Coturnix japonica: one gene and its partners. The protein of the gene in region 3 purifies or fractionates together with the protein of the main gene of each other region. This does not show direct contact. Links are inferred from orthologs where the notes say so. Each region holds a gene or a part of one and is shown on either strand. Other genes may lie near its edges. The genes, in order: AMER1, HIPK2 and AXIN1.

What was found.
Region 1: the proteins of AXIN1 (region 3) and AMER1 purify together in Homo sapiens (affinity purification with mass spectrometry; 4 studies listed by BioGRID and IntAct, with this or other methods). This does not show direct contact. The link is inferred for Coturnix japonica from reciprocal best matches to the Homo sapiens genes AXIN1 and AMER1.
Region 2: the proteins of AXIN1 (region 3) and HIPK2 purify together in Homo sapiens (affinity purification with western blotting; 3 studies listed by BioGRID). This does not show direct contact. The link is inferred for Coturnix japonica from reciprocal best matches to the Homo sapiens genes AXIN1 and HIPK2.

The regions. Positions count from the first base shown.
Region 1 is NC_029519.1:11,111,057-11,119,280, reverse strand, and holds the start of AMER1 (APC membrane recruitment protein 1), read right to left. Parts: upstream 5,364-8,224; 5' UTR 5,207-5,363; intron 5,154-5,206; exon of another isoform or gene 5,080-5,153; intron 4,133-5,079; 5' UTR 4,001-4,132; intron 2,366-4,000; exon of another isoform or gene 2,343-2,365; intron 1-2,342. Other genes in the region: ASB12 (ankyrin repeat and SOCS box protein 12), read right to left, coding at 5,951-6,084, 6,415-7,228. UniProt on the Homo sapiens protein: Regulator of the canonical Wnt signaling pathway.
Region 2 is NC_029516.1:56,134,301-56,142,424, forward strand, and holds part of HIPK2 (homeodomain-interacting protein kinase 2), read right to left. Parts: intron 7,446-8,124; coding exon 7,324-7,445; intron 3,644-7,323; coding exon 3,501-3,643; intron 3,231-3,500; coding exon 3,051-3,230; intron 526-3,050; coding exon 244-525; intron 1-243.
Region 3 is NC_029529.1:10,741,649-10,749,872, forward strand, and holds the start of AXIN1 (axin-1), read left to right. Parts: upstream 1-2,598; 5' UTR 2,599-2,711; intron 2,712-5,866; 5' UTR 5,867-5,977; intron 5,978-8,224. UniProt on the Homo sapiens protein: Component of the beta-catenin destruction complex required for regulating CTNNB1 levels through phosphorylation and ubiquitination, and modulating Wnt-signaling.

The DNA of each region.
Region 1 (8,224 bases), on a different chromosome or scaffold from region 3:
ACTACAGCTGTAAAAACCCCCAACCTGTTTGAACCCCGCACAAAGATGTCATGGTACCGAATCCTCTGGAAGCCACCTGTAGCCATTTGGCAATAGCACCATATCAGAGGGACAGGTAGACCTAAGCCCCAGGCCACCTCAATCAGCCTCTGACCTTTGTCAAAGAGAGAGTGGGGTCCTGCTCTATTAACAACTGCCCTTCAGCACAGAAAACACAGGCATCTCCAAAAGGTAGAGGGACCGAGACATGACAAACTCTGCTTCCAGCCCTCCCAAACAGCACAAAACAACAGGAAGCATCTGGACAGTCAAGCCTTACAGTAACTGTGAATCCAGCAAAAGCAGCCATTTACCATATTGTGTTTTCTTCACTGGATTTCAATTGTTTGCAACATCATCTGTCAAGCAAGATAAACCTGCATTAAAAATACTTCTTATAAATCACCCTGATCAGATTATCTCAGAAGCAGAGAGAGGTAGGTTTTCAATTTCATCCTGGATTGATGTTAATAGCAGGAGAAATAAAATAGTAATATTTCTTTTCCAGAACTGAGATTGGATAAAATAAATCCAGTGAGAGCTGTAATGCACTGCTGAGCTGCAATACCTGAGGCTTAGCTCTGAGCAGCCCAAGGCCGTGCTGTGGGTGTGTGTCCGACACAATTCCCTGACAGCAGCCAGCAGGATGCACAGCTGGGACCTCGCTGCATGACCAGCTCTTACCTGGGAGGCTGGAGACAAGGGGATGTATTTACAGCCATCACTGACAGAGGTGGATTTAACCACCTTACACACCCCTGACAGTACAGTCTGCCCTTTCTCTGAGGCTTCCAGGGCCACCCCAGGGCATCCCAGGGGCCAAACAGTGCTTCTCAAGCTCTAACAAACAGCATTTCTGCACACCCAAAGCCTTTCTGGGGTGACTCCAGGATTCTTCTGGAGCCTTTCCAGAGAGAACTATTTAGATAGGACCAATAGAAAATAGTACGCAAATGTCTATATATGTGAAATGCTAAAGTAGTAGAAAAATGAAACAGGAACAAGACTTCAATTTGAAAATAAGCCCACTCTGGCTCCACATCAGCACTGGCATCAGTAGATGCTCACTGCTGTGACCACACAGCTATTTATGGATGCCAGAACAATACAGTCACCAAGGGCAAACACCAGTATCGACGGAAATAAAACGGGGTCAGAAACAAACCTACAAATCATAACAGTAAATGACAGCACTTCACCTGTGCCCAGCTCCCTGAGGCAGCCAGGGGAGATGAGGTAGATCTGGTTATACTTGGGGTGATGCAGCTTTCTGCTCTAGCTACAGGTAGAAGAAGGGCATGTCCGAAACTGCAGCCGGTGCCAACAGGTTGACCTGGGCCAGAGCTTGGGGCTCTGTTAGTGTACAATCAGGACAAAGCACCTCAGCCAACATGCTGCTCTACTGGGATGCTATGCTTCTATACTAGGGGCAACTTCCATCCTCCCCAGCAGCAGCTAAAGTAGAGGCCTGCTTTGTCCTCAGTTGGGATCTCAAGACTCTTAAGAGCATCCATGACAAGTCATAACTACCTCAGCATTCAACAAAAACAGAAATGAGGTGGAGGATGAGAATCTCACAGCCTGCACCTAAAAGACTTGGGAAAACGTCCCTGTTTTATCCCCTAAACCGACCACAGGCCTTAGGCAGCTCATCAAGCCTTTCTCCTTTATGCAGACTGACACTGCCTACGGTAAGCAGGCTGCTAAATCCCTTCTTTGTGCTGCACCAGAGATTAGCTGGTGTGAGTGACCGACAGCCATCGATGGACTCACCCAACTCTTCCCTGCCTGTATGACTTTCAGCAGGGCCAGAGCCTCCCAGAATCCCCCCCTGACCCCTAATGCAGAGCACGGCACATCGCTACCCTCATCCACAGTGGGGACAGCCCCACAGCACACACCCATTCCCTGCTCTACAGAGGAGCTGCACAGCTGGGCTCTGCACAAATCCTCTCAGACCCTGACGACTGCCATGAAAATGTCTGACTGCAAAGAAACACCACAACATTAGGCAGCGTTCAGCCAGATGCTGCTTTCTCTTCCTCCACATCAGAATAGAGAAGCAAGAAGCACTGAACCCTTGTGCAACAAAACGATACCCTCTCCTGCAGCTCACACGTGGACGGGTGGGAGCACACGGGCAGTACAGCTGTCAGAATGGGAGGCGGACACTCGAGCGCGATCAATTAATTCTCACAGGCATCAGCAAAGACAAGCTACGATCAATTAATTCTCATCAAGGAACCAGGCGTATCATCCCGATGTTACAAATGGGAGACCGGGCATTAAATTAAGGGACTTACCCAACTCACAGGGGAGCTTCTGTCTTGTCACCAGGATTAGGATGCAGAAGCAGTCACAGCAAGAGCACGGATTTCTCTAATCCAGGATAACTGCCCAAACGCTGCTTGGAGGGCTGGTGGCAGATGAAGCATCCCCTCTCTCTAACTCACAGGTTGCTCTCATCTTTACACCACTTTCCCCAGCAGCAATCTGGGAAGCACCTCCAGCAGGCCATGACACCACGTTCTTTCTCCCTTCTCTCTGGGGAACACGGCACGGTTACCCCATGCTGCAAATGCAAAGATGTGCAGAGCAAAGCTGGCTGCAGTGTCACAAGGGCTGCGTCCCACAGGACACCCAGAATGGCTGCACGCCTCACTAACAGCAGGTCACACCGGCCGGGTCCCAGCTCTGAATGGGAACAAGCCCCATCTGTCTCACTGCCCATACAATGGTGCAGAGCGATGGAGACAAAGGCACAGAGATGCACATGAAGCCCTGTGCAGCAGGAGGCATCTGATACCAGTCAGAGCAGTGGGTGGGAGAACACAGCGCAGCAGCATGGCAGGATGCATGTCTGCTCCCCACATCTTCACGTAACATGGAGTGTTCAAGCAGCATCTCACCACATTCTGAACTCACATACAGACAAAAGAGATCCTTCCACCATCCTCAGAAGGGTCTCAGCTGAGGTGCAGGGAACTCGCTGTGACTCTGCAGTGGGACAGGTACAAGCTGTGCAATGCTTCCCCACTGATCCCACTCTGAGCCTGCCCCAGAAGCCAAAAGCCCCGAGAATCAAAACCATCTTCCATTTTCCAATGTAGTTTTATCCGCGGCCATTTTACACATCCTTTATCTTACATGTTACTTGCTGCTTTTTCCTTCTACAGCTTCCAACCCACTGCATCCTCATCCTTATGTGCAGTTCTTATTCCCTAGGCCGAGCGAACCCTCCAAACTCTCCCTATACAACATGCTCTGAGCCACCCGTGGAAACTTCGCTCCATCTCATTTCTCCAAGCTTTGCCTACAAACAAGCAGCAGCCTTTTCCAGGACACTCCTGCATATTCATGCCATTAATTCCTCAGTTTACAGAGGGATGTTATTGCAGCTGTCAATACCGACAGGCAGGGAACTGCTAAAACGTGCTGCTTCTATCCTCAAATAAACTGTTGTGCTAACGATTTTTGTTCCAGTACAAACAGCGTGCGACAGAAACCGTTTTGTTGGGAAGCCACGTATTAATGTCATTCTGTCTCAGAAACAAAGACAACCCCAGCACTTCAAAGTTTCAATCCCGAGGCCTGATTTAGCAGCTTTATAGTTTATAGTTGTAAAACTCAGAGCTGTGATTTTCTTCAGTTGTTTTTCGCTGCAATAATTACAGCACCACATGGGCACGTATCTTAGTGCCTGGAGCCAGCGCTGTGTCCCCAGCCATTCCTCCTGGTGTGACCACATCCACAGCAGGACGTGCTGACCCTTACCCCCAGCAGGGTGTAATTAGCGTGCTGTATTTACACACTTTCTTGTGACAGGCTGGGTCCTATGGTGGGCCAAATGTTACAGCTTAGGTGGACACAATGAACTTATGTGTGCGACAGGGCCTTGTTTTTAAGGAGAAAGATGGGCAGCTACCAAAGCAGCAGCCCCCTCAGCTCACTACGACCTCACCTTGCTGCAGGACTTGAGCTTGCCCAAAGCCGACCCACACTACCACAGCAATAGAGGTGCAGAGCTCGGGATGAGCTGGGAGCGCAGTGCCTTCCCCTCACACAGCCTCCACCGAGATCACAGCCGCCACAACTGCCAGTAGTAACCACATGAAAAAAAAACACGCAAGTGAATGCTTTAACAAGACGAGTGTAAGTTTAACAGCTCCGCCTGAGGAGCTCACAACGCCTCCATTAAGGCTGCTATTGAATTAGAAGGCAGAGCCCTCCCACGGAGGCATTCCTGAGTCTCTCTCCCAGCTCCAGCCCAGCTGTCTGGGTGCTTGGATCTGCACATGCTTCTGTCCCTGCTGTTCTCCATCACCTCATGGCACACAGCGTTCAGCTTCTGGATGTGAAGGACAGAAGCCTGGAGAGAAAGATGATGACAAACACAAGGGAAAGAGACGCGCCCAAGACAAACGCAAAGCCACCCGATTTTGGTTGGAAGGCCTTTGGCGTCAGGGGTTTGTCGTTAACAGCAGCACTGCTCAGCAGCTCCAACACAAACCGGCCTTAAAATGCAATTATTTCAGTCTTACAAAACGCCACGTGACAGGTCAGTTTTCTATCTGCGGCTTGCAGATACCTGGTTCTTATAAGACAGGGCACCAGCACTGCATCCACTGGGACATGCTGGATGAGGAGAAAGACAGCCAAGAACGCAGGTCCACATCTGACAACACAACACACCCCGCTGCTAAGCCCTTATCCACAGCCTGCCTGAGGACCTCAGAAAACCCATGGGGCCATCCATCCCTATGAGCAGAGAACCCCAACCATTCCTCGCTGTGCTGCCACCTCTGGGAGCCTTTCAGCGCGCTCGGCTCTGCAGGAGGACGGAAAGATGGAAATACAGGGGCACGAAGCCGGGCCTGTTGTGCCCGTGTGTGGAAACAGTCAGAGGAAAGGCGAGGACGGGAGCACGGGGGGCTCGCCGAGCCCAGCAGCAGCACGGCCCGCTCCAGCCCCGCTCTCAGACGCGGCCCCCGGCACAGCCCCACCTCAGTCCCCGTCCCACGGACACGCCGCCCCACGCACCCGGGACGGTCCCGGCCCGAGCAGCTCCGCGTCCCACCACCACCACGCCGGGCTGCAGCCAGGCCCCGGGCTCTGCGGCCTGCCCGCCGCCACAAAGGCCGCCCCGCCGCGCTCCGGCCGCACTTACCGACGCGCTGGGCCGCGGTCGGGGCTCGGCGGAGGCACGGCGCGGTGCTGTACGGCACGGTGCTGTACGGCCCTGCCCGCCGCCGGGACGGACGGGGCGGCGCCAAGCAGAGCGGCGGGGCCGAGCCGGGTGTGGCGGCGGGGCCGGGCCGTGACGGGGCGGGCGGACTCTGTGACACGGCGGGGGCGGGGAGAAAGGCCGCTACCCCCACAGAGCCCGGCCTTAGGACCAGCCGCGGACCAGAACCATAAGGAGACGGCTCCGAAAGGCAGAGCGAGCGGATGGAGCAGCTGATGATCTGCTCGTAGCACCGCAGGCTCCAGCCCCGCTCCTGCTCACAAAAGGTCCGGTAATTAATAAAGATGTGCAGCTGGCACAAGGGCCACCAGCTGGTACTTGTTTGGTGTGATTACTGTGGAAAATTACGTTTTTCGCCCATTCAAATATTCAATTTTATTCCGGATGAGCAGAGCACCCATTATGACACTCATTATCTGCATGGGAGTGGTGTCCCCCATCTCCCCAGCCCCACAGACACAGCTCACCTGCTGTGGAAATCCACACTAACAATAATCTTTCCATACAGGTTTCAGAGACACTCTGGAAGCAAATAAAAAGCCCAAAAAAACCCTGTTTATACCACAAATTCACATCTGTTTTGTGCTGTGCAACAGCAGCGTCAGAGCTTTTAATTCAGGCACTGGGCATCTCTCTGGGGTAGGCGTCTTCCATGGTGTGTCCCTGCTAAGGCTGATGTTGGAGGTAGCTCACCAGCACTGGTGGAATGTCCAGCTCTCTGAGGGCGTGTGCACAGCCAGCCTGCTTCAGGATGTGCCTCAGCACCAGCCTAGACTGAGACATCAGGGATTTGGGATGAGCTGTGGAAAGAAAAGGAATGAAAAACATGACCGTCACTGCAGACCTTCAGGATGCGCAACCCTGCTTCTCCTCCAGCTTGCGTGGTGTCAAAGGGAGAACTGATGCACCTAAACCAAGTGTTCAGAGTAAAAGAATGATAATATTCAAGACTTTAACACCAGAGAGACTCATTCTCTCAACCAAAGCTGCAAAGAGGGTCAAAGCTTGCAAGAAAACCTTGCTTAGGCTGATCTCTCCCCTCTCTAAGGGGAAACAAAGATAAAGTGAAGGGTGATCTGAAGCAACTCGCCCCCAAATAAGCCCTGGGGCCACACACACACACAGGTTACCTCTTGCCTGCAACAGCAGATCTAGGCCCTCGCTACCAGGTGCTATCTTCTTGATGTTTGGCAAATACACATTGGCTCCGAAGTCAAGAAGCAGCTTGATGAACTCACGCCGGCAGCTGTGCCTCAGGCAGATCTCCAGCAGAGTCTTGGGCTCCTTGATGCGCGCGATCATCCTCTCATCCGTGCAGTTGTAGTTGGGATCGGCACCATAGAGCAGCAGCAACCTGAAGCATTCCAAGTGCCCATAGACAGCTGCGAGGTAAAGCGGACCGGAGCAAGCAGTGGAGTTGGCAGCCCACTCAGGCACCCTTGCTTGGACATTGGTCTCAGCACCGTGTTCCAGGAGCTGCTGCAGAATCTCAACGTTCCCATCCCTAGCTGCGGTCAGCAGCGGTGAGCAGTTGTTGTAGATGCTGCCAGAGGGACCGGCTCCTGCCTCCAGCAGTGCTTTCACACAGCCCAAGTGGCCATTGCTGACTGCTGTGAAAAGCGGGGTTTGTGCCTTCACATCCAGGCTGTCCACCTCTGCCCCATGAGACAGGAGGACCTTCAGGCTCCTGAGGTGGCCCTTAGAGGCAGCCAGGCGCAGTGGGGTGCTGGGAACGCCCCAGCCACTCCTGCTATTGATGACTCTCTTGTACCTGTCTTGGTGCAAGAGCTTGTCAAGAGTTTGGTAATCGTCCACGGACACCACTTGGTTCAGCTCCTCACTTTCTCCATGATCTTCATCTTCTCTGGGTTGGAGCATGGAGAAAATCTTATTGATGTCCATTAAGCTCATTTTTTTGGTCTGTCTTCTGAGCACCACTTTCATTGTAAGCAGTAAAACCTGCTGTCTATGGGACAACAACAAAGGTGAGAAGCAGATTTACCGGCTGGTAAATAAAACTGCCCATTTTCCCTCAGAAACCTCCCCATCCAGCTGTGCCCCATAAGTGCTGGAAGAAAGACCACGTGGAACAATAGAATTTATTCTGCTTCATATTGAGCAGCACTGCAAACAGTTTCACCTGCATTTCTGAATATCCTGATATCTATGGAATACTGAGATGATCCAGGAGGTGACAGCTTTACTGGATTTTGCTCAAGAGCACACACACAAACAAGCACTCAATTTTTTTTTTTACACCCAGTTGAGCTTTAAAGGGATTGAATTTCAAAGTAGAAGGACCGAGGATTTTCCATCAGCCATGCAAGGAAAATGGAGGGGGGCACCTGAGAGTGCTACACCCAAGCCAGGGCCAAAGCCTGGGGATTTGCAAGGCCTGGCCCTATGGCAGGGTGGCACCAGCACAGAAGGATGCAATGGAAACGCTGCCTGCCAAGGACAGGAGAATTTCTGGTAGCATCTCAGCCCTGCAGTAGCTGAGGTTTCCCACAGGAGAGGCTCCATCTCCCCCACCTTGATACAGCAGAGCTGCGCTGAGCAATTAGCCCTGTTCTGCAAATGCGCATCTGCTGGTAGCAAGGAAAAGCCACAGGAGATGTGTCCCACATCAGCCTTGGATAAAGAAGAGCTGTGAGCGCCGAGAGCTCCCCAGTGCCAAGTCACCTCAGCAGCTCTATTTTTGGGTTAAGTAGAGCAAGTTGGACGGCAGCTGATGAAAGCAAAGCTCTGTTGTACTTCCACCTGTTAAATCAAGCCAATCCATTTCTGTAGAAATAAGTAGAAATATACATTGCTGTTATTGGTTAGACACACTAATACCAAGCACTGGGACTTTGAATCACCCAATCAACGCCTCTAATAGTGTGTGGGGAGGGGGAGTTTGAAGACCTGGGGCATTAGGGTTATTAGTCCAGATCCAAA
Region 2 (8,124 bases), on a different chromosome or scaffold from region 3:
TTATTTCCTCTTAGAGAAAAGAAACTAAGGCCCAGAGAGACTCTGACACTTCTCCGAAGTCCACAGCAAACGTACAGAATGACAGGGAACATCAGCTAGGTCTGCAAAGACCTCTGCTAGAACCTTAGCTCCTCCATCACCTTTCCTCCCAAACTAAAGACCCAGCCATAACTGCTGGGACCTTACAGCACTCCTCTGCCTCTTTTTCTCACCCGCAGAGAGAAGAGCAGAGCTGCTGCTCACCTGGTGGGTGCATGCTTCTGCTCCTCCTCTTCATCGGTGTCGCTGCTGATAGTGATGACGCTCACTGCGGGGCTGGGGGTGTCGGGAATGATTATGGGCTGCCGCTGCCGCTCCCGTGTGGTGCTGGTGGCCACGTCACCCCAGCCGCAGGTGACGGCAGTGCTGCAGGCAGGGCTGTTGTGCACCATGGCACAGCGAGGAGGCGTGTTTTCTTTCACTCGTTTCGACCGCTGAGGCGAGCTGATGGACTGAGAGGACGAAACTTCGTAGGTGGATGCATTTCTGGAAATGGGAAAGGCTGTTAGTTGGTTAAATCTCAGCTTGCTCAGTTGCTGTGGCTTTTGACTCCCAGCCTCTCATTCTCTCACGCTGACTTATGGAGTCTGGGAAAACTGCAAAATCAGCACCATCACCTTTCCAAAGGTCAGAGTGCCTCACATGGCTTATTCTTATAATTGGCTGAAAAGTACTTCTTTTAAGTAAAACACCCCTCAATTTTGTTTTCCACATACATTTCCAGATGAGAAATACTGCCTCCCAGGAGTCCCTGCCTACAGTTTAGGCTGGGAATAGAGGCTGGTCACAAAGCCCAGACATACAAAACACAGGCCGGCACTGCATGGCTGTCACACAAGGAGAAAGAACCCAAAGGATAATCCCTTTCTCCCATACCTGGTGAACTGTATGTATGCATCATGACCAATCTGTGCTTTTGTTTTTTTTTCTGTCCAGAAAAAAGCTTAAGGTAAAATTAGAATTTATTGTGGAAAACAGCGATCACTTATCAGGAAAACCGCTTTACTTACTTGAAAATCTAATTTGCCATTTAAGAATGTTTTCAGTTAACATTTCCTGCCCAATGCTTCATCCTCCAGATGAGGATGAGAGTGTCAGAATACCCAGATGGGAAAGCACACACTCAGTTTCAAGTCATTCCCATGTGAGGATGCAGATACAGCACCCATCGGTCAGGAAGAAAAAGAACAATCTTTTTGTTATGCATTGAAAATAATGCTCAAGCCCTCGATTTTCCCCCATCTTCCTACTTCAGCTTCCCTGTCTGAAAGTTGTAAACAGCTCTATGGATTGGAGATCTCAGCACAGAAAACAGCACGGCACAGGTCTGCAGATGTATTTACTGACCAAAACCCACCTCGTTATTTTCTTATATTTTTTAAAATGTTATAGTTTATTCTGCTTATTGCAGAGCATTCGCAGATGCAACACAAAGTTCTCGCTTTGTTCTACAGTGAGATGTGGGTTGCATTTGCAGTGTGGCCTAAAAGCTAACAAAAAGAATAGGTGGCATCTGTCAAAAGGAAGTCATTATGGACATATCACGCTATACCAACTTACACAGGGTCTTTTGCATAACAAATGACTGCACGGTAGCATTTGCAGTGCTTTCTGAATACCAATGAGCGGAATGGAGTACCCTTCTTTCCAAAGGAGCACGTTCCTCATTTGGCTACAAAATCATCACAATTAAAGACAATGTACAGCCCTAGAAAGCCGTTGCTCTGCAAGTGTCCAATTCCTCCCCAACATGGGCACCCTGCTCCTGCAGAGGGGTGGGAGAGGGGAGGCCCTGCGCAGACATGCTTGTTGCAACAGGCGCTCTCTTTTACAGGCTTGCTGGGGACAGAGCTGCCTCTGCTCTACATTACGAATGGACTAAGACAGCTGGAGCTCACCCAAAGTAAATGCAACATTAGAGAGCAGATAAATGGGAAGGATTTAAATAGCGGCCTCTTAACTAGAAGGAAAATTGGTTGTGAACTCCGAGCTCCTCTGGCCTGAGTCCAGTCACCCAGGAAAACCACAAGCTCCTCTGTTTTTGCCACTGTAGTGACCCATTTTAGTTCTCTTCTCTGCACTTATGGCTCGTTTTTTCTTTTTTTTTTTTTTTTTTTTTTTTTTTTTTTTTTTTTTTTTTTTTTTTTTTTTTTTCTTTTTCTTTTTTTTTTTCTTTTCTGAAAATGAAATGTATCTCAGTAGAGGAGCCATTCTCACAGTCCAGAGCACTTTCCCCAGGACAGTTGCACATACGTCTTCAGCAGCCCCGTCCTGTAAGAAGGACTGCAGGGCTGTGACAGGCACCGCAGTCATCCCACCATTTCAGCTGCACCAAACACCATGAAGGAATGCTCAACTTTCCTCTTGCAGAACCAAATGCTCCTACCTAGATTTAATAGATCCCAGCATCTAAGGAACGTTCCTGCGTGAAGTGCCTTTACCAAATGCTCCCTGCTTGATGCTGCCCTGATTAGGAAAAGATCGATGCGGGTATCTGTTGCTCCTCTAGCTGCTGTGTTAGAAGACAGAGAGCTTAAAGGTGGCCCACAGCCACCTCAGTGCCCTTCAGTGTATCTAACTTAGATTTGGAACAGGCTGCCCAGAGAGGCTGTGGAATCTTCTTCTCTGGAGATATCCAAAATTAACTCCAGAGCTCCCTCCCACATCCTACGATTTTGTGATTATCATTTATCTGCTTCTAAAGGGATGGATCTTACATGCAGACATCAGGAACCTGCTCCTGAAGGTGCACTGCCCCACAGCAGCATAACGACCTGTATGAGCAAGGCCTGAGCCTCCTGTCCTGCATCCCCACCATGCCACATGGTGTTTGCTGGCTATAAAACACACCCGACTGCCCCTTAATGAAGCAGCAGACAGTCCACTCACAAAAACTCACGGGCAGTGGAACAAGCTTTATTTTGCCCCATAGGCTTCTGGATACCTGACTCCTATCAGCACGCCTGCATTTCGGGCCCACCAAGGCCAGCGGTGGGGCCGGGCTCACTCACCGAGGCGCCGACTGGTGCTGCTTACTCTTCCTGGTGGAGGTGGTGGTGGCGGGCGGCTGGCGCATGACGTGAGCAACACCCACATTGACGGGCTGGGCTGCGGGGAGAGTCACATGGCTGGCTAACAGCGCGGGCTGCTGCATGATGGGATTGTAATGGCTGCCGTGAGCGTGGGTGTTTCTGCAAAGGGGAGAAGACAGGGACATGTTTAAAATACGACCGGCGGCTCCCCAGCAGGCTTTCACCCCATCACCTGCACTGAGGTTCTATTCTTGGGGCTCTTCGGTGCCACAGTTTATCCCCAGGAAAGACTGTTTTCCCCCCAAGGAAGTGGGCATGGTGCTGGGCTTGGGGGATGGTGGCCACTGCCCCAGCCCAAAGGCCATCATCACACATGTGCTGGCTGTCCCATGGGCATGTACACACATTCTCCATGTGCCAGCGATTTACCTCCAGTCTGCCAGTGGCTGGGTGCCTGCCATGGACTCAGGGATGACGGTCGCGTGCTGGACAGAAGTGTGGGTGGCCACCCCAGTCAGCTGCTGCCAGGCAGGAGGGAGCAGGATCTGCTGTGTGCCACTGGGCCATGCTTGCTGTTGGCCAGAGGAAAAAGTGTTTCTTAATAAGAGTCATCATAAACGGCATATAAACAATCACCCCCACCCAGCTGGGGCTCCTTGTAATAACTGTGGTCATCTTACCTAGTGCTTGGTGCCTTTCAGTCATAGATTGTGAATACTTTTAGGAAGCAGTAAAGTTATCAATATAGAGAGCACAAAAGACTTCCAAAGCAGCAGCTGTGTGTCAGGTTAAACTTGGAATGGGAGAGACTGAAACTGGCCTGCATTTCAATCGGAAGTTCCAACAGATTAGCACTTTTTAATTTTGACTATTCAGATCAACTGGGAGTTACGGTCTTATTAAATGGGACTTCTCCCTGCCTCCAGCCAATTTTCCTTCTGACCTCAACAGACCCTAAAGGACTTCAGGAACGTAAAGCAGCTTAAAAGGAGAAAGAATTTCAGGGATCAGGACAAAGAACAAGAGGCTGAAGGCTTTCACAAAGAGGGGAAGGAGTCTGGGGGTTCTACACAGCAGGGACATCTTGCTGCCTAGTCCAGCTACCCATGAGCCTTGGTCAAAGTAGAGGGGAGCTGTACATAGCTGCACATCGCATGTCTGTTCCCTTCATACGCTCTCTGGCTTTTTCTCAGCAAGTGCCCCCCTTGCAGGGTGGAGATCTCTGCCCTGTAAATCGAGTCATCGCTCTGCTATGCCGTCATCCCTCAGGTCGTCCCACTCCACCGACTCCACATGAATCAAATCATTTTTTGGCTTGGTCACACTGTGATTCCTTTAGAGGGAAACTTTGTTGTGTACTGCTTAGGATGGGGAACGCAACCCTCCATAGGCCCATGTTATGTAATCTCACAGCCCTGTGGAGGCTACATTTTAAAGAAGGGAGACTTCATCCAGGCATACGTTCACCCCCATCTCCATCCCCACAAACATCCTGTAACCTGTACCCCAATCACCCTCTGCCACCCTCAGTATAAAGATGAAACTTTTCCTAGTTCTGCTCCAAATTTTAATCATCTTAATTGTGTCATGCCAGATGAAAAGGCTGCTCTTATGAGGCCTCTTAGCAACATCTGCAAAAGACAGATTGTCACAGGGGTCTTGAGAGCTTTTCATTTAAGCAGCTGCAGCCGTGGTCTGGTGCAGGTCAGAGTAGTTAGGAGAAGGTAGTGAAAAGGTAAAAGATCAGGTAGGAAATTTCATTATTTATTTATTTATTTTTAACCAGCTTTGAATTAAAAGATGAGACTCAACTACTGTTGTGCTCGTTCCCAAGGGGCTACCAGGATTTACTTGCAGAGAAAACTGATTTCCTCCCTTTTTTAAGGAGGAGAACTGAACAAATGCAAACTCCTTTTCCTCCTGCAGAGCATAAATTTAGATTCAGTGTCAGGGTCCAGGCATAAATTCCTCACTTATTAGGTAAGGACCACTGAATCATTTAATCTGCAGATAAGACTTGTCTAGGCTGATCCACCAGCACAGCATGCTGTGCTTACACATGGGAGGCTCGTGCCTGCAGCCTCAATCTGTTCTCAGTTATTGCATTACTTTGAAATTGTGCTGTTGTGTCAGAGTGCGGTGCTGGCCTCTGCTCCCTGGAGGTGGTGCAGCCCCTGGTGCAACTAAATTCCCACCTGTGGTGTAAACAAGAACAACTAATGGAATAAACGTGTTTGCTCTGAAAGCTGGAAGCAGGACTTCTATGGGAAGAAATATTGCTGGGATGGAGTTAAAATGTGAGAAATTCAAGCATTCAGGGCACTATCCAAGGACAGAGAACGGTTCTGGGTCACGTCACATAAGTCTGACAGAGGACTGTATGGCTTTGTCCCTTTTGAAATCTGAAGTTGTACAGAGATACTTGTAAAGATGGGATCAGCCCATTTTCAACAGCCTGTGTGCATACAGTATTTGGACAAACTTGCTCAGGAGGCAGCAGGCTCTTTGCTGGGGACAGCCCCTCTAGCAGTTGGAGTTCGGACAGTCTGGCCTGAACGGCGTTTGATAACCAGCTGTGCATGAGAGGAACAGCTCACAGCTCAGAGAGACACACGGTCATCCAAAGATCAGATGTGACTACAATGCATTACAAAGGAGCTGTGTTTTTCCATTCAGGAAACTGGAATTGGGTACAGATTTGTTTATGAGACCAGCTGCTCAGCTCGAACCGAGCAAGGCCAGCGGACACCAGATGCCACCAGTGTCTATCAGAGAGCCTCCCTGTCGGAGCAGAAGCTAATGTTTCTCATCATGTGAGACAGACAGATATATCAGCTGACAGAGACTGCCTCTCTTCTATTAAATCAAAAATAAAATCTATGTAAGTGAGGAGTATTTTTCAGAAACAGCTCAAATAAGCCATATCAAAGTAGCAGTGCAAAAAATGTCAATAGAAAATAGCTGAGGGCAGTCCATGAAACCAGAGTTCTTGTAAATGGGACAGGACAGCCATATGGATCAAAGCTTCTTCAGAGCACTCACTGCCACAAAGTGGTGACCTGAGAGAGGCCACCTTGAGAAGAAAAGAGGAACTGCAGGACCCAAGGTCTTTTAAGATCCTATCGGCTTCAGCATGGTTCAGATAAGACCCTCATCCCTGTACACCAACACTGCAACAGGTACCTGCAATTTCACCTGCAGAGAAGCATTCACTTTGTGATTATTCCTCTTCCTGTCACCTCTTAGGCCCTCCTTTTCCACCAGACAAGAGAGATGGCCCACACAGGCTGTTACCACAGGCTTCAACTGGGATATATTCAGTGTTTGAGCAGGCTCATGTCAGACAGCCCAGTAAAAGGGACTCTAATATTGGGAATGAGTACGTCTTGTTAGCTAATTGAAATCACTGAGGCTGCAAGTTGTGCTTTGATTTGTCTTCATCAGATAAGTGTGGTTGCTGCTGAAGAAGAGTAATTGCACCAACAGACAGTGAGGGTGACGGAGCACTGGAACAGGCTGCCCAGGGAGGTGGTGGAGTCTCCTTCTCTGGAGATATTCAAGACCCGTCTGGACGCCTACCTGTGTGACATGGTGTAGGGAGCCTGCTTTGGCAGGGGGGTTCGACTTGATGATCTCTAGAGGTCCCTTCCAACCCCTACAATTCTGTGATAAGTAGTTCTCATTCCCATTTGTTCTTGCTGGGAAGAACCATGCCTTTTCTGTGAGAGTACTTTGGCCAACTGTGCCAATAGGTACTGCTGACAGTGTGAGCTCCTTGGTTGTCAGATCCTTGCCTCTGCCAACTACATCACTCCCAAGACTTAAGAACACAGATACAATTCATAAAAAGCTGCAAAATTAAAAACATAGGGGATGTTTTTCAGCAGCATGCAATTCACCAGCACAACTGCAACAAACTGCTGCTGAGACTGCAAGTTCAGGAGAATCCAGGAAGGTTCCTACCAATTCCTCCTCAGCAGAGTCCTGACACAGCTTCCCTTGAGATCTCCACTGGTCTCAATGGAGAAGAATAGATAGTCTTTCCAGAGTCTTTTGCAACTCTGACGTAACAGGACAATGAACTGGGTAAGGTATGAGCATTTCAGATAAAGCTGGTGACTTTTTATGGCTGCCCATTTCTCCAAACTACAGCACAGAAGGCCCTCAGAGAAAGCTACACTCTCCAGCTTCCAAGTGCTAAATAGCACACAAAATAACCTGCTCTGTGTTTGGTGTCTTCAGAGCTCATTACCTGTGCGAGGAGTCCTGGCTGGATCTGAAGAGGCTGAGCCCCAGGAGCCTGAGTGACAATGGGAACAGCATTCTCCATCCGAACTGAATACCCAGCATGCTTCGAAGGGGAAGCTTGTAACCCTGTTTCATAAGCACAGAAGATACAGCATTGGTCATACACAGCATTGCTAGGGATGGGGGTCTGATTTTAAGAGAAGTCTAAAGGCATTCACTGATATCCATTTAAATTACAGTGTTTAGTTCTTCTGAAAAACTAAGTTCTAGGAGACCCACATATTCCACCCTAGCCCATAGACGTCCATCAGATGCTGATAAGCACAATATTATCATGAGGGTACAGGAGAGACATTTGAAAGGTGTTAAGGAATTAAATGATTTCATATTTTTAAGTTATCTCGAATCCAGGGGAAACATCTCAGTACAACGCGTACAGGGAGCAAAGAAAGAGTGAGCAGGAAATGGCTTCTCTTACCAGACGTCCTCTGGGCTGCTAATAGAAAATGGTCCTTGCCACACAAGAGACACTGCTATGTGAGAATGCTCTCTTGCTATCAATGTGGGACAAGTGGAACTGTGCACTAACTCAATCTTGACTGGGATGGGTGATTTTCTCTATCACAGTTTCCCAGGAGTCATATTTTAAAGGCTCCGATTTTACTGTGTTTCATCTAGCACACCTCACACTCCAACTGTTGCTGACTTAGCCAAGCATTAGCCTAACTGTTCTGGAGAAAGGCTCCCACTCCATCACCTTAGCCATGGCACAGCCTCCTCTCTTCTAGAGATTTCTCAAGCAGAA
Region 3 (8,224 bases):
AAGCAAGTCCATCTGTGCTTTAATGGTCAGTAATGCTGTGGGAGCTCTTAACAAAAGCAGCAGTTCTGTGTTAGAGGGACAGAGATGGAGAAGTGGCAGCATCTCCGTGTGTGAGATGTTCAGAACAGCAGGGCCAGGCCCTGGGTAACCTGTTCCAGCATCTGTGGGCTGTGAGACCAGGCTGGGCCCAGCAGTGAGCCCTGCAGCCCTCCATCACAGAGCAGCTTCCTGCTCCTGCTGCCTCCTGGCTGCAGGGCTCAAGGCAGGGGATGGCTGCCTCCACCTGCGGCTGCTGTGTGGAGGACATGGCTGGGGCAGGAGGGCTGTGGGGCAGTGCAGGCTCTCTGAGGTCCATCCATGAGGGCTTTTGCTTCAGCGTGCTCTGCCATTCTACATGCATCTCCATCACTCACCTTCCCTAGGCAGCTGTTGCCATGGCAATGCTTTACGTGCTGCTGTTTCAGTCCAGCTAGAGCACAGGAGATGCCTTTGGGGAGATGGGAGCTCGTGCTCAGCCTGCAGGGCACCCTCAGGTGTCCCATCACTGTGGGCCCTGCAGGACCCATCGCCCTGGGGCTGGTGGTCCAAGGCAGAGGCAGCAGGGTGATGGGAAGCACCGGGAAGATGCAGCTCCTGCACTGTGGGCTCTTCCAAAGCCAAATCTGAGCTGTTGGATACAACCCCTGAGAGCACACAAAAGCACAGATGGGCAGGTAGAGCATCTGCCTCCCATCTTTAATACATCACATTGTGAGGCACAAGCAGTGCACCAGGCACTGGGGCTGAGCACGGCTGTGCTCCTGGCCCTGCCCTCACCACCTCCATATTATATTATATTATTCCATATTTGCTTTGTGCTTTGTTTCCTGAAGCAGCTCTACGTGATGGGGAGAAGCAGTGGGTCCCCGTGGGGATGTTCAGGGGGCTGGAAGGTGCCTCCTGTGGCAGCAGTGCTGGCAGTGTGGCATGGGGAGCTGCAGCGGGCACAGCAGGGCTGGTGTTGGCTATGGGCAGGCAGAGCTCTGGCTGCTCTAAGACAGGAGTTACTATGGGAACCGACAGAGGATGCTCAGAGGGTGCAGAGGGCAGAGATGCTGGTATGGCTTCGTGGTATTGGTACCTGCAGCCACGCACAGCATCAAGCCTTCAGTTGATGCCCATGCTTTGCTCAAAGCCACCTGTGGCCATGCAGTGAGCTGGCACCGAGCTGGGGCTGCAGCAGTGGGATCTGTGTGCGGCTCATTGCTCTGCTTGGTTCTCGGCTCTGCTGGGGCTGAGCTGCACGCTGAACCGGGGCCAGCAGCATCCTGCGTGCAGCTGGACGGAGTGTTTGTGTAAGCAGAGCCTGCCCGGCTGTACCAACAGCCGCCTGTTTGTCCATGTGTGGGTGGTGAGAGCCCTGACGTCAATGGCTGCCTTTCATCTCCCCCGCATGGCCAGGCTCCCCTTGAGCAGCAGGACGGCGTGCCCGACTCACCGGCACCGGCTGAGCTGTGCAGCAGCGCCTGCCCCACACAGCAGACAGGGCTGGGAGCATTGAAGGCATGGCTGCTCTCCTTGCTGCTCTGAGCCCATGCAGCAATGGTACAGGGACAGGTCTGAAACCTGGGGGGGTCCACAGCTACAAACAGGCTCCCCATCCGACCATGTGCATTTCCTTTTTGATTCTCAGTCAGATGATTCTCTCTTCTTCCCTGCATCCCATACACAGACGTCATTCCATGTGCCTACAAGGGCTGGGGGACACAGGGAAGAGGAAGGGAGCGGTGTTTTGCCCAGTTCTGCAGTGCCAGACCATCCCTACAGACCAGCATGTCCCCACAGCTGCAATCCCAATGCACTCCACACAGGGTGCCATGAGGTGCAGTTGCTCTCCATGCAGCTCCCCTTGTTGTGGGGCTGTTCAGAGAAGAGGAGAGGGAGGGAGACCTTACAGGGGAGACCTTACAGCTCTCCACACCCGAAAAGAGGCTGCAATGAGGTGGGAGTTGGGCTCTGCTTCTGGGTAACACTGATAGGATGAGAGGTGTTGGCCTCAAGCTGCGCCTGGGCACTTCAGCTTGAGTGTTAGGAAACGTTCCTTCTCCCATCCTCCCCATTGCTTCCCCAACTGGACAGAGCCATGTGAAGGTTGGCTGTGCTTTGGAGGAGCCCCAACACTGAGGAGCACAAGGATGATGATGATGAGGGCTGCACCGTGGTGCTGGTTAACCCTACATGGAGTCATTGTGCAGCTGGTGGGGAGCAGCTGGCCCGGGGGAGGCAGCGCTGTCTGCAACAGTGTTCAAAGAGTTTTGCTTAAGTGTTGCCGCTCTTCAGGGCTTCCTCCAAAAAATAAAAAAATAAATATATGTCTATATGTAAAAAGGGAGAGAAAAAGAAGATAAATCTTTCCATGCTGGATGAAAGCGGCCTGTCTTGACTATTTACCCAGCAATTATAAGTAAATCGGTGGTGCCTAAAGGGGCTGGTTGCCATAGTTACAATAGGATTGGAAGGACCATCATTTGGTCCTGGCCGCAGCCAATCAGGCTGAGAAGCCAAAGCTGCAATATAAAGTAAAGATTCCCATCTTCCAGCCACACAGTTGCCAAGAAAGGGAAATAGGTTCAAGAGTGTTGGAAAGTGCTCCGGACAGCAAGCAGGGCGGCTGCTCCCGTCATGGCGGACTGCGAAAACCCAGCCGGCGCGCGACGCAGCGGGGCAGGCAGGTGAGAAATCCCAACGCTCCCCATCTCCCCGCTCATTGTTCTCCTTCACCACGGCCCCCGCCGCCCCACCCCATCCGCGGCCACCACCGACCCCCTCACCCAGCCCCAAAACCCACAATGAAACCCCCCTTCGGGCGAGAGACAAAGAGATCCGTGCGGAAAAACGCTCCACCATTCTCCCCAAATTGTGATCGTAGGCCTTTCAAATCAAATTTCGCAAAGCAGCTTCATCAAAGGCCCCCAGCTGGGAGACACAAGCCCCATATTCCTGCCGCCCACACGGCCCCCCCAGGCCTTGGATGGTGCGACAATCGCACACAAAGTCAGCGCGGCTCGAGAAGTGTGTGTGCAAGAAAAGGGGGGAAGAAAAGAGAAAAAAGCGAGAGCGAGAAAGAGCGGTGCCTAAATTGATCATAGTCTCCAAATCTCATTACTCGAGACTTCTGAGGACGGATATTTCCAAAGGCTGCTATTAAAGACTTGTAAATGGAGCCCCTTTATGAGATCAAAGCCCAAGGGCCGGGCGCGGGGCGTGCGGTGGCTGTTGTGGCGGTGGCGGAGGGGCGAGCGGAGCCGCAGGATGCTGGGGGAGCCTTCCTCCCCTGCTGCTTCTGCCCTCCATGTTTCCAGTGTCGCTGCTGCTGCTGCGTGACCCATCTTGCAATGGATACTGCAAACGTGATGTCGGGCAGAGCCGAACACCGCCCCAGCTCCCGGAGATGGGCGAACTCCACCACCCGCAGCACCGGGGATGGAGAGAGAGTTCCCAAAGTCAAGCAGGTCCCTTCCAAAATGTCATAGTAATAAATGAGCTTATTCCAGTCGGGACCTCTCGGGACACCTTGGACTACAGATCATCTCACGGCGTGGGGCGCTGGCTCCATGGGGCCGTCCTGGCCTCGGGTCTTCTCCGTTGGGTCTCTTTTTCCTCCCCAAGTCGCGGCACCTCGCTGCCTTGCTGACCATGGGCAGAAGGGCCGAGGACAAAGGGAGGTGGACAGAAGTTGTACGACTTTCTCTTCCCACCGCCTCCCTTCAGATAAGATTTCTGTTGTCGGTGACACATTCAGCTCCGGGCAGCATTCCCAGCACCGGCACCACCAGCAGGCAGGCGCCCCATCATATTCATGGAAAGCAAACTCACAGATGGTAAAATAACAGAGTCGTGTAGGTTTCAAAGAGTCCTTCTATGTCAATTGTTATATTATTAGGTAAACTCTAAGAAGAAAATCTTTTAATCCACTGTGGCTAATCCAGTCCACTTTTGTTGGCCAGGACATATTCAGCATCAACAAAAGGCTCTGGCCGACGAACACCGGCATACATAATGTATTTATAACTCTGGGAGCTGGCTGGGCTGCTCCCAGAAAGAGACACTCCTCGGGCCCTCAGCAGGGGCCAGAGCAGAGGATTTGCCCGACTTTTATCAGTTTTATTTTCATTTCAAAGAACCCGACCGATATTTTCACTGTGTTGCTTACCAGGCGAGGCACGAAGAGGGCAGGGACGTTCCTGGCTCCAGCCAGTCCCTCAGCCCGGACCTGCTGGGATCTGCACCCTTCATCTCCCTCTGTGTCCTGGGCAGCACAGGGATGGCTGGGCTTGAGGAAATGCATCCATGCACCAGGCAGGGAGCATGGGGCCCTGAGGTGCCTGGAGTGCCGGGATGGAGGCGGATGGGACAGGGAGCAGCACCGTGCCTTCTGGGAGGATGGAGAGCTCCAGTGACACAGGCAGGTCTGTATATCCCGTATTTCACACCCAGCTCCTCTTCCATGTGCTGGAGACAGGGAGAGCTGCAGCAGTGCTCCAGGACAGGCTGTGGGGTGCTGTCCCCATGGGGATGGGCTGTGGGAGCAAAGGGGCCACCAGGAGGTGTTGGCTGGGCACTGCTAAGGTGGCTGCCCCCAGAACGGCAATCCTGGCGCCCTGGGATCTACATGGACTTTGCTTGGAAGGCATCATCACTCTGGGAATGGAGGGATCACCTTCCTGCAGGACAGGGGATATCAGTAATGCCATAGAACTGCTGCACCAAGCATGGGAAGGCTGGGAGGTGTGCAGGGCTGCCAGGAAGGGAGCTGGAGTGAGGCACAGGGACAGACTGTGTCCTCACACGATGGGGAAGCTGCTGCCATATGAAGATGCAAAGCCCAAGGTCTGCAAAGTTTGGTGTTGTGTATCCACCACCACGTTTCCTCGTGCTTCAGACAATTGTAACTGTAAGAATCAGGATGAAACATAACCTGAGGCCTGATTCACTCACATTTGTCTGCCCCGGGCTCTGCTGTCTCCTACAGCCCTGCCGGAGTCCAGCACAGGGGCCTTCTCCATCAACTTCTCCATCAACTCTTGTGCCCCATAATATGTCCCATGCAAACCAGAACTCACTCTGCCCTGCCTGAAAGGTGTGAAGCGGTGAGGAAAACCACTTTGAATGAGAAACAAGGGGCAGCCACCCACTGAAACATGGTCAGCACACGTTGCTTAGTGAAAACTCTTTGCTGGTTCACTCAGAACAACAGGAGTGCTGACCCTCCAGGGTGGGTGAGCCAGGAGCATGGGACAAGTACTTGTGCTCCAGGCTGAGCTGCTGATGGGCATCGTATCAAAGCATTCCGGTTGTAGGCTGTAGGACAGACATCAAGGCGTTGCCGAGTGCTGAGCTTGCTTTTGCCAGCTGGGCCAGTGACCACATCTAAGCCTAAGATCCTTCATAACATTGCGAAACAGATCCACAAGAGTGGAGCAACCGATATTTCCAGCAGCGCTCTTGACATCAGCTTTTCCTTACACCGCCAACCAACTGATCGGGATCATTGATGGATGGATAAAAGAGATGCACCTCTCGTGTCGGGATCAAACACCTTGAATGGGCATGGGCTGCTCTAGGGCAACCCTGACAGCAGGGCTCAGCTGTCCCAGTGCAGCATCACTGAGCTGTCAGCTCAGCCCTGTGCTCCTGCCTGAAGGTGGTGGCTGATACACACTCACCTTGTCCCATCCTGTTGTGGAGGCAGACAGCAGCCACAGCCCAGGAGCAGCAGCCACAAAGGGACAGCAAGCAAGGATCCCAGGATCCCAACCTCCTGGCCAGCCCTGGGGCATTCCTGTGTCCCTCACAGGGGACAAGCTGACATTTTTTCTCTCTGCAGAGCAGCAATGCTGGGACACACGGAGGCTGCATCCCATCCACGGCCACCCGAGAGGAGCACAGAGCATGGAGCAGCAGGCCTGGGGACACAGACCCGAGATGGATCCCACAGGTGGGTGTGGGAAGGTGTGACAGAATGGGATGTCACCTGGGGGTGCCCCCCTTTGCTGGCCACAGCAGCTTCTAATACGTACCATGTCCTGCTTTACATGGACAAGGTGGTCAAACCTGAGCAAAAACTGGGAGATCTGGGGACAGAAAGATGGGAAGAAAGCCCAGGAGTTACTACTCGAGGCAGTTAGTCCAGGGATGCATCGAGAAAAGCTCATCCAAACCAATGGGTGTTACTGCAGCCAAAGGCAAAGGAACCAGAGGTAGGAAAGCTGTTATTAGCCATTACTATTACTAGTTATTACTCTCACTACAGAGGTGTAGAAGCAAGCAGGAGAGAGCTGCCAGTGAGCTGCTGTGCTCTCCCTGGTCAGATAGGAGATTTTCTGGATTCCTGGTCCTCTGTGCAGCTTATTTAGCCAAAATTAGGGACTGTGGACTCGTGTGGTCTTTATAAAATAACAATAATAATAAGAAAGCAGTATCTGAGCAAAAAGGCTGGTGATAGGGGGAGAGTAACCCCAGGGCAGCATAGGGGTGGCCCAAACATTCACCCAGTGTGCATCACAAGGAGCCAGAGCTCAGCCCTGCCTGTGAGGAGGTGGCTGCTGCATAGAGTCCTGAACCCCATTTGGTCAGTGGTTTGTCTCCAGTTCTGTAACTGGGAGCCAAACTGGGCTGGAACAAGCGTTTTTCTGCCTCATCCCTTTTGCCCAGCACTGGAGGCAAATTCAAGCTGAGGAATTTGGGTGTGTTCATCTCTCCCAGGGCAGTGAATTGAAACAAGGTGGGATGCACAGGCACCCAGCAGAACCTGCACTGCGAGCCACGGGGTGAGAACCAGAGAGCAGCTCCTGCTGCACTGCAGATGCCTTTGGGGAACTTCAACTGTTAGTGATGGGCTCATAGCCCACATCTACCCTGACACAGCTGCATGGGGTATCCTCACTGTGCCAATGGGCAGGACTTCCAGCCCCCATCCCAGCTGTACACAGGCCCACTCCTCACCCTTTGCTCTCACATCAGCTGTGTCTGTGGCTCTGGGTGTTCTCCACATCACAGCAGTCAGCTGAGGTCTTTGGTGTGCCTGGCCCCAGTTCTGAGGTGACCCAGCTCCCTTTAGTGCCATGATACTGATATTTCTTTCTTGACAGCCAGCATGTCTTCCCCCTCCTGCTCTGTAGGTGTCATTTTGCCAGTGGTCCAGGAGCTAAAAATGTCCTCTCCCATCCATTTCTTGCATCCTTTAATCCTGTTTCTTAGCAGCCCTCTTTTCCAATGTTTATGCAGCCAAACCATCTCTTACCTCTTAAATGAATGGGCATGCATACAGGATGAGGTAAGCAGAGGAGAGCTGCTCCTCACCTCCAATAGGGATCATTTAAGATCTCTGTGTCCCGGTCTCTCAGGCTTTCCAGTCACCCAAGAGGCCCACAGGGCTTTCAGCTCAATCCTCAATGATCTCTGCTGGGAGCCCATGGTTCCCCCAACCCTTCTTATCAGGCAGCCCTGACCACCACACTCCACAGGCACCCACAACACAACCAAACAGGATCTGTGTCCCATATTTTTTTTTTATAAAACCTAAATTTGGGATCAGCTTTGACCTGCTTTGAGCCTTTTAAATTACAGCCAAAGGTTGAACAGCACCATCTAGTGCACTCTGTCCCAACAGTGCCTGAACTGGAGGGACACCGACCCTCACACTTGCACCAACCGTGGCAGGGCTCTGCCATTAGAAGTGTGCATGGCCTTTACCCTTTCAGACACAGGGGAAGCAAAGGAAGTCCTGGATGATCCCACAGTCTGATTCCTCCCAAGGGACACTTGATTTTCGCTCATTTGATATCCACAAATGAATCCAAAGTTGGTAATGTTGGCCATAGGCGAAACGTAGGGACTAGGCTCCTTCATGTGGGCGAAGCAATGTGTGAAAAGCAGCGAGGTGACTCCAGAGGGAGCCCATGGCTCTCACTATTCTGAGAAACAGGAAATGAAAGAGGGAGAGCTTGGCATGAGCCCGGAGGGTATTCACCATACAGCTCGCAGAGAGGTGGCTGCCTGGCTACTCCTTACCTGCCTTGTCGGCAACCTGAGGATCTGATCCTGCTGTGGATGCAATGAACAGCTGGGGGCAGAGATTTCCCTCTTGAATTTCTCAGAAAAGCAACATCCTGATGGGCTGCGCAGCCCTTCCCTCAGCAGGATTTCCATGCAATGAACCCTCTGCACAATGCCAGCACAGCCA